Solanum lycopersicum: one gene and its partner. The protein of the gene in region 1 binds, or shares a complex with, the protein of each later gene. Links are inferred from orthologs where the notes say so. Each region holds a gene or a part of one and is shown on either strand. Other genes may lie near its edges.

Evidence for each region.
Region 2: RNA-binding protein 8A-like (region 1) and protein mago nashi homolog share a complex: the UniProt entries of both Arabidopsis thaliana proteins name them as parts of the mRNA splicing-dependent exon junction complex. The link is inferred for Solanum lycopersicum from reciprocal best matches to the Arabidopsis thaliana genes Y14 and MAGO.

The regions. Positions count from the first base shown.
Region 1 is NC_090805.1:43,323,062-43,327,038, reverse strand, and holds the start of RNA-binding protein 8A-like, read left to right. Parts: upstream 1-1,177; coding exon 1,178-1,436; intron 1,437-2,987; coding exon 2,988-3,124; intron 3,125-3,514; coding exon 3,515-3,660; intron 3,661-3,977. UniProt on the Arabidopsis thaliana protein: Core component of the splicing-dependent multiprotein exon junction complex (EJC) deposited at splice junctions on mRNAs.
Region 2 is NC_090802.1:52,071,423-52,075,424, forward strand, and holds the start of protein mago nashi homolog, read left to right. Parts: upstream 1-1,202; coding exon 1,203-1,421; intron 1,422-2,668; coding exon 2,669-2,845; intron 2,846-4,002. UniProt on the Arabidopsis thaliana protein: Core component of the splicing-dependent multiprotein exon junction complex (EJC) deposited at splice junctions on mRNAs.

The sequences.
Region 1 (3,977 bases):
ATATGGTATTCTTTGGTGTAATTAGTTGTGAACAAAAACAACCCATTAATATCTTCTGGTAAATAAGAAGTATAATAAGTGGCTTAGTGTAGTTAAATTGTGGTTTCACATTCATACACCATGACGAAATTGTCAAGAGTACACAAACCTACTTTAACAATACAATATCACACAAAAGCTTATATATTTGTTTTCTCTAACTTTTAACATTATGTAGTTCAAGTAGATAGTATTCTTTCAAGGTGAATTTCAAACTCTATTATGTCAAGTTCTAATCTTAGGAGGTTCAAAAAATGTATATCTATACATAGAAAGATTTAAAAATACCTAATCTGCGGACGAATCTCTCTGTCTGTTTCTAATTATACTTCGAAATATATTAATTTAACTAGCTTATGTTCACACCATGTGAGACTATTACGATGGAAATGCGGCCAGTAGAATTTCTTATTTACATTCTACACTTTAAATCAAAAATGAAAGAATCTTATTCATTCCACCACATTCCTTGATTATAATTTCATTTATTATGCATTCATTTTGATATTTTTATTTGACTAGTATATTTTAGAGTCTCAAATCAAATGATTTGATATTATGGTAAATATTTTGTGTGAACTACATAAATTTCATAGTTTTGATATGAAATTACAATCTATTCCTAATAAGTTTCTAATTACATTAATACCTTAAAAGTTAAAAAATCCGAATACAATAATTGAAGATCAGATATATTAAATATGATCTCGGATACATTAATATGTTGCTTGCATACATTAAAAATTAACTCGGATACATAATATGTAGCTCATATATATTAAATACTGGATCAGATATATTATTGTGTAACTCGAATACATTAAAGAATAATTTTTTTTTAGAGATTTTTGAAAGTAATAGGGGATAATACAAATGAGTGAAACAAAAGAGGTGTATTTCTATTTGTCCAATATTTTCTTATTAATTGCAATAAACTATATTTCTGACCCGACCCGACCACAAAAAGATTTAGGAAGATCATATGGCCCAAAACCCTTCTGTGCCAGTATAATACCCTAGCATTTTGCCTGGACACAGCTTCAACAAAAATACTTTATTAGTACTAATAAATAAATATATACAGTTGAAACAAGCGAATCAAAACCCCAGATTCTCTCTTTTTGCTGCAGCGGCGAAAATGGCGAACCCGGAGGAGGCTGTGGATTTCGAGCCAGAGGAAGACGATCTGATGGACGAAGACGTTGACGCTTCATCACCTAGGGCACCGATGCCAAAGCTGAAATCAGCCATTACAGGTGGCGGCGGCGGTTCTTCTGCTTCTAAGAAAATCAAAGGACGGGGTTTCCGTGAAGAGACTGCTGAGGCTGAAAGGAATGCTCGCCTTTCTGCTCGATTTGATTCACTTGACTCCGAAGGTGGCCCTGGACCTGAACGATGTTAGTTTCTACTCTTAACTCATCTTTTATATAACCCAACGAACTTTCTACCTCATTTTTTTCTTTTTTTTTTTAGAATTTTGTTCAAATTAGGGGAAAATGTTGCAGTGGGTCAACAATTCATCAAAACCCCAGATTCTCTCTTTGTGCGCTGGTGTTAAAGAATTGTTACCTATAATTGTTTTCTCTATGATTTTGTGACGGGAGGTTGATAGTTGGGGTAATGGGTAAAGTGTCTTAAGGAAATGTTTTAGTCTGGTTAGAGACTTCTAATTAAGAGAATATCTAGGTTTAGGATGTCTTAATTTTAACAGGTTAAAAATTGCTTATTCTTATAATTGTTTTTCTTTTGGTTTTTGTGTTATGAATAAAGAAAACTGCTACAGGTTGGTAATCCGCGTAATGTAATGACCCTCGAAGGAGTGTGTTTAGTTTGGTTTACAGTGTTGAATCTAGAGAACATCTAACTTTAGAAGACTAACATTGAACACTCAAGTGTTGACCCTGTTATCTTTAGAGTTTTTTCACGAGGTGCTTTTATGGTTTTATTGAGTGTATTTAGTATACTTTCTAGTTTTGGTTTAATTTGTTATCTGTTATTGATTAGTTGAACGATATTAAATTGCTTTTGTGAATGAGACCATGTTAAGGTTTCACCTACATTGTATAAGCAAGCAGAATTAGAGAAGTGAATAAAGAAGTTAGGACCTACTGCTAGTAGAAGTTGATTTTGTTCATCTGTGTGAAGAAAAGCAACTAGAGAAAGGAACACTCAAATATTGCTTGTACTCATCTTCAAGTTGTTAGGACCCTGTAACGGTATCTAGAAAGTGGAATAACTTGAAGATAATTAAGTCGAGGTCTTTTTTTGTCAAAAAAAATAATTAAGTTGAGGTCTTCATTTTCAGAAAGAGTGGAAAGATCGTGAAATAGGGTAAAATGTTTGTACTTAATGTATATCTGTGCTGTTTGGTCCCCTCCTCTAGCCATTGTGCTTATAAGCCTCCGCCCTCCAGCTTCGTGTTCTTTACATTATAAATGTGCTAACCAGTTGGATTGGGTTCCAGCTATTACTTTATTTACATCTAAGAAGCACGTAATGGTAGGCTGTATATTTGTCACTTTATCATTGTTGCTTAGCTTTTAGAGAGAGCTAGCTTTGTATAGCTAATGCAACTTACCCTCCAACGGCTCAGCTTGGTCTTCAGCACTTGCTGTCGGAGAAATTGGCCAACAGAATCTAATATGCTGATTTCAGTCGTAGATATTAGTTGTTTGATTGCTGGGTCACCAGCACTTCAAGTAATATGTAATTTGTGCTGGGTATCTCAGATATTTTTCAAGTTATGCAATTCTAATGTAATAAAAATCCCAAAATGTCTGATAGGTGCTGATTCAGACATGCATGGTGTCCCCCCCCCCCCCCCCCTCTTTTTTTTTTTTTTCTTTTCTTCAATATATATATATATATATATATTTGAAGTTACCGGTAAGGTTAATAAAGGTTTAGTTTAATTAGTAGTAGAGAGCTAATGAGGGGAACATCTGCAGCCATTGAAGGATGGATTATTTTAGTCACTGGAGTCAATGAGGAGGCACACGAAGATGATCTTCATAATACATTTGGTGAGTTCGGGGAGATCAAGAATTTGCATTTGAATCTGGATCGTCGTTCTGGATTTGTCAAGGTGAACTGACTCTTTCTTTCTCGGAATGTTTAGCTGCTTGCCTGCTTCTTTGGGTTTTGGGTGTTGTACATATGATGCTATATGAATTGCATCCCCATTGTATGCTTTAATCTAATAAACTTTCCTATCAAAAGATTTTGGATGATGACAAAATTCTTTTGATCAAGAAAAATTTGTTGAAGTTTATAAGTGACAGACATTCCTTCTTCCATATAACTATGTAAGAGCATTTCCTTGAATGAATCTGTAATGGAGTAAAATGGAATAAAATAGGATCAATGCTATGTTAATTATGAAGGATTCTAGATAGATACTTTTCTTTGTTTTAAGTTTCAACTTTTGTCGTAGTTTGGAGTGGTATAGTTTTTATACAGTTTTCCATTTTGACAGGGTTATGCACTTATTGAATATGAAAACTTTGAAGAAGCAGAGAGAGCTATTAGTGAAATGGATGGGAATGAGCTGCTAACTCAGACTATACATGTTGATTGGGCATTCAGCAAAGGTCCTTTTAGAAGGAGAAATGTTAGGAGGAGGTATTTTTCTTGGTTAATCCAATTAACATAATTTTGTGTAGAATAGCTGTGAAAAAATGTTGCCTGAATCAAGGATACACTTTTTCACTTTTAATCAATGTTGGCAAATGTTCCTTCAGAAGCATAGATTTACCCTCTTGACAAAAAGTCGGGGCCTTCAAATTATTTTCAGAGATTGGAATAGCTACTTCTTAAACATTTGCAACTGGATTAATGTTATGACGTCTGTAATTGTTTTCTTGCGAACTGTTTCACTATAATATATGTCGTTTATTGTATTGCCTTCAACTCCGTAGGAGTGGAATTGTCACTGGCCT
Region 2 (4,002 bases), on another chromosome or scaffold:
TTGTAACTTTTATGTATACGTAATGTATCTAAAAATATAAATGTATTTAAAACAAATAAGAAATTTAAATGTATCATGACAAAATTGATCAATTATAAACAATTGTAAAGTGCAGGTAGGATACTAACCAAAATCCGAACAACAATTGGGTTTGTTAGTGTTGTGAATGCTTCTAAATTCATCGATCATAAACAATTCATACTCCGAAAGATATAATTCATGATATTAGAGAACTCTATGGGTTCAAATATAATTGTGATAGGTATATTTGCATCACTGAGTTGGAAAAAAACGAAACAAACATATGAAATATAGGATTGCCATTTTAATGACATCCTGATTATTCTCCCATTGATCTATCAAAAATCTTTGAACTAAACAACTTTTGTTTACAATGTTTTTTGAGTCAAGAAAATATCGCTGAATCAACTTGATACGAGTGAAATCGGGATATTTGAATTCATCAATCATTTCTGTGCTTTTTATATCGATAATAATGACAAATTCTTTGATAATGAAATGCAAAATGTTTTCACTTGCGTGACGAATATAGAGTTCATCTATACTATTCTGCTCCAGCTCAAGTAGTAACAATCAACTATGAGCGAAAATAACGAAATTGAAACAATACCTAAGAGGAATGAGAAATTCTTTGACGGGAGAAAGAAATATCTTGAAATTCAAAATCAAAATTAGAATGATAAAATTATGGGAGAGAATATGACGTGAGAAAGAAAATCTTTGACGAAAGAAGAAAATATCTTGAAATTCAAAATCAAAATTAGAATGATAAAATTATGGGAGAGAATATGACGTGATTTCAGAAAAAATAATTAGAGAGTGAAATATAGGTTAAAAGATATGGAGTTATGTATCCAAGAGTTGAGTTTAAGGGGAAAAAAAGAATTTTAGTAATATTTTAAAAAAGAAGAGAATAATAAAAAATAAGTAAACTAATAGTGTATGTATAAGTAACTTTAAGTGCAAGCAAATGAATATTTTAGTCTACTTACAAATTATATATTATAATATTCAGCATGAGTCCATAACTTCTTGCGTCTAAACACTTTACTCCTCCAAAATTCTATAATTTTGGAAAAAAGGCCCTTATGGGCTTTGTTAATTCACAGTTTGGTGTCAAAACTCCAAGGGCGGTGTTTTAGACCTAAAAGGTAGTCGCCGTTGACAGAAGAGGGCAAACTATGGGGGAAATGGCGGAGAATGATGAGTTTTACCTGAGATATTACGTGGGTCACAAAGGAAAATTCGGTCACGAGTTCTTAGAGTTTGAGTTTAGGCCTGATGGCAAGCTCCGTTATGCTAACAATTCCAACTACAAGAATGATACAATGATTCGCAAGGAAGTCTTCCTTACCCCTTCTGTTCTCAAAGAATGCCGCCGCATTGTTGCTGATAGCGAGGTTTTTTATCCTCTCCCTTTTTTTCGACTGCATTTTGTTGTTTTGGCTTACAATTAGGGTTTGGGTCAAACTCGCTTTCTCCTTTGGTTTGCAGGTGATTTTTGCTACATGTTATTTAGGGGTTTTACTTTGATTAGTGCAATGCATCGTCAGTCCAGAACACGTTTGCTGGATGATTAGTTTTAACTATGATGTGGAGGATTCATATAGCTAGATAGCCTCAGTTAATGTGAGAATGAGGCATAATTGATTGATTGATTGTCTATGGGGTGCCGTCCAATAGCTTTCGGTTGTTACTTATGTTCTGATTTAGGAAAAATCCAAATTATTTGTAGGTCAATGATTGTGGGAAGGTCAATGAGAAGACTGGAATTCCAATTTTTAGAGCCATTACCTAAGAATTGGTAGTAAAGAGCCAAAATTCTCATCCCAGGAGAAAGATAATCACCATATTTTGGGCAATTTTGGTGCAACATTCATTGCTGATAAGCAAAATTATCATTTTAATAGCATGGGAACTAGGTCAAATTTTCTAGATTCAATTAGGTGTAAATTTCTAGGTATCAATTTGTCAAAAAGAAGATTTTTCCTTGTTTCATTCATTTGAATCGTTTTCCTAGGAAGACTTCCTTAAGAAGGAGAGAAGCAGCTGCGGTGGAGGGTTGGGGTTTTTCTTTTTTCATGACTAGCTTTCGCTTGTTACTTATGTTCTGATTCTGCCAAAATCAGAGTCTTTTTTTTTTTTTTTATGACAAGGGAAACCCGCAGCCTCTACCCTTTGGGTGCGAACAGGATAAAACCCCGCTCCTATGGGAAGACCAATGAAAAGAGAGGAATACCAACTTTTAGAGCCATTTGGATCTAATAATGTTAGTGAAGAGGCAAAACTGTCATATCAGAAGAAAGATAACCATGTTATTTGGAGCAATTTTGGGGTTAACGTTCATTGCAACGAAGCAAAATTATTATTTTGATAACATAAAAAAACGAGATGTAAAATTTCTAGTTATCACATAAATGAACTTTTCTTGTTTGAATTGTTGTCCAAGTAAGGGTTCTTTTAGGAGGGGGGAGAGAGTTGTAGCGGAGGGCTGGGGTTTGTTTTGTTCAGTGTGATGTAATGTGTGTTTTTTGCAACTCCGACTTTGTATCTCTTCCACCTCTTTACTTTCTTAGTATAAATAATAACTTGACCATCATTCTGATTTCAAAATGGAAGAATTAATTTGCGTGTGTGTTTGTTGTAGATCATGAAGGAAGATGATAACAACTGGCCGGAACCAGATAGAGTTGGTAGACAGGAGCTTGAGATTGTGATGGGAAATGAACACATATCATTCACTACATCTAAGATTGGTTCATTAATGGATGTGCAGACCAGTAATGATCCTGAGGGACTCCGTATCTTCTATTATCTTGTTCAGGTTATGATCTGCAGTAATTTTCTCTTTTTTACTTCTTTATCTGAATATGTCAAAAGCTCAGATAGAAAAGCAAATATCATTCTGGCTATTTACATCCATATTTTATATTTTTACTACATATACATGTAGGTCTCATTTTATCTAGCGGAGTTTATTTTTAGAGGATCCTTTTTCTTCTTTGAAATGATCTAGACGCACTGTACTTTGTATTATTATGTTTCCCTTTTATTTGGAGCTGTACAAGCAATATGGTATTAGTTTTCATCAGCTAGATATATTACTCACTCGAAGCAGATCAGGGGTCCTAGTTGTAAACAGTAAAATGGTTGTTCATATGTGTAAATCTGTTATATGTGAACCTTCTGGACTGATCTGGTTCCAATTGCTTAGTTCCATTAGAAAAATTAACTCCCTTCAAACTCCCTCTTTAGATTGCCTTGGAAACTGGATGGTGAAAGCCTCTGTTCCATCTTTACAAGAATAGAGAAGAGTTACTTTGATTTGGACTTTGGAGATACTTCTCTTATTGCAGCTGGACTTAGTTTGTAGTCTTGTTGCTGCATAATGCTGCTTCTATGGTTGCATACTTTCTCCTTTTTTTCACCTTCCACCCTTCCAATAACAACATGGTTTGATCATGAAGAGAAAGTGATGGGTATTTATTATCGTTTTACTTCTTTTTTGTTTGGTTGGGGGAGATTATAATGATTAGGAGTAAAAGAAAAGAAAGAGCAATGGATATTAAGAATTTCTGCTGATCTTAGTCCTTTATCTTCCTACCTTACGGCAATAATGATCCAGGATGGCAAGAAAGTAGGATATTGTTGGGGGGTGGGGGGGGGGGATGTTTTTTTGGAGTTTAGACTTTAGAAGAATAATGGCGGAGGGGGCTAGGTGCGGAGAGGCCAGCTGAAAGTTTGAAGTCTGTGTGGTGGTATCATGAGGACTTCAGATGATCCAGGGATACAATGGCGTTGAAGTTGGTCTGACCGTATTGAGTGATAAACATCAAGGAGTCTGCCATTTTTTTCTCTAGCATATTTTATGCACCAAAAATATATGAGATTGTGCGTTGGTTAAGGAACAAAGCAGAACCTTTGGTATATAGAAATTTACAAAATGGGAACTCGGCTCAACTTATGCCAGATGTGTAGTTA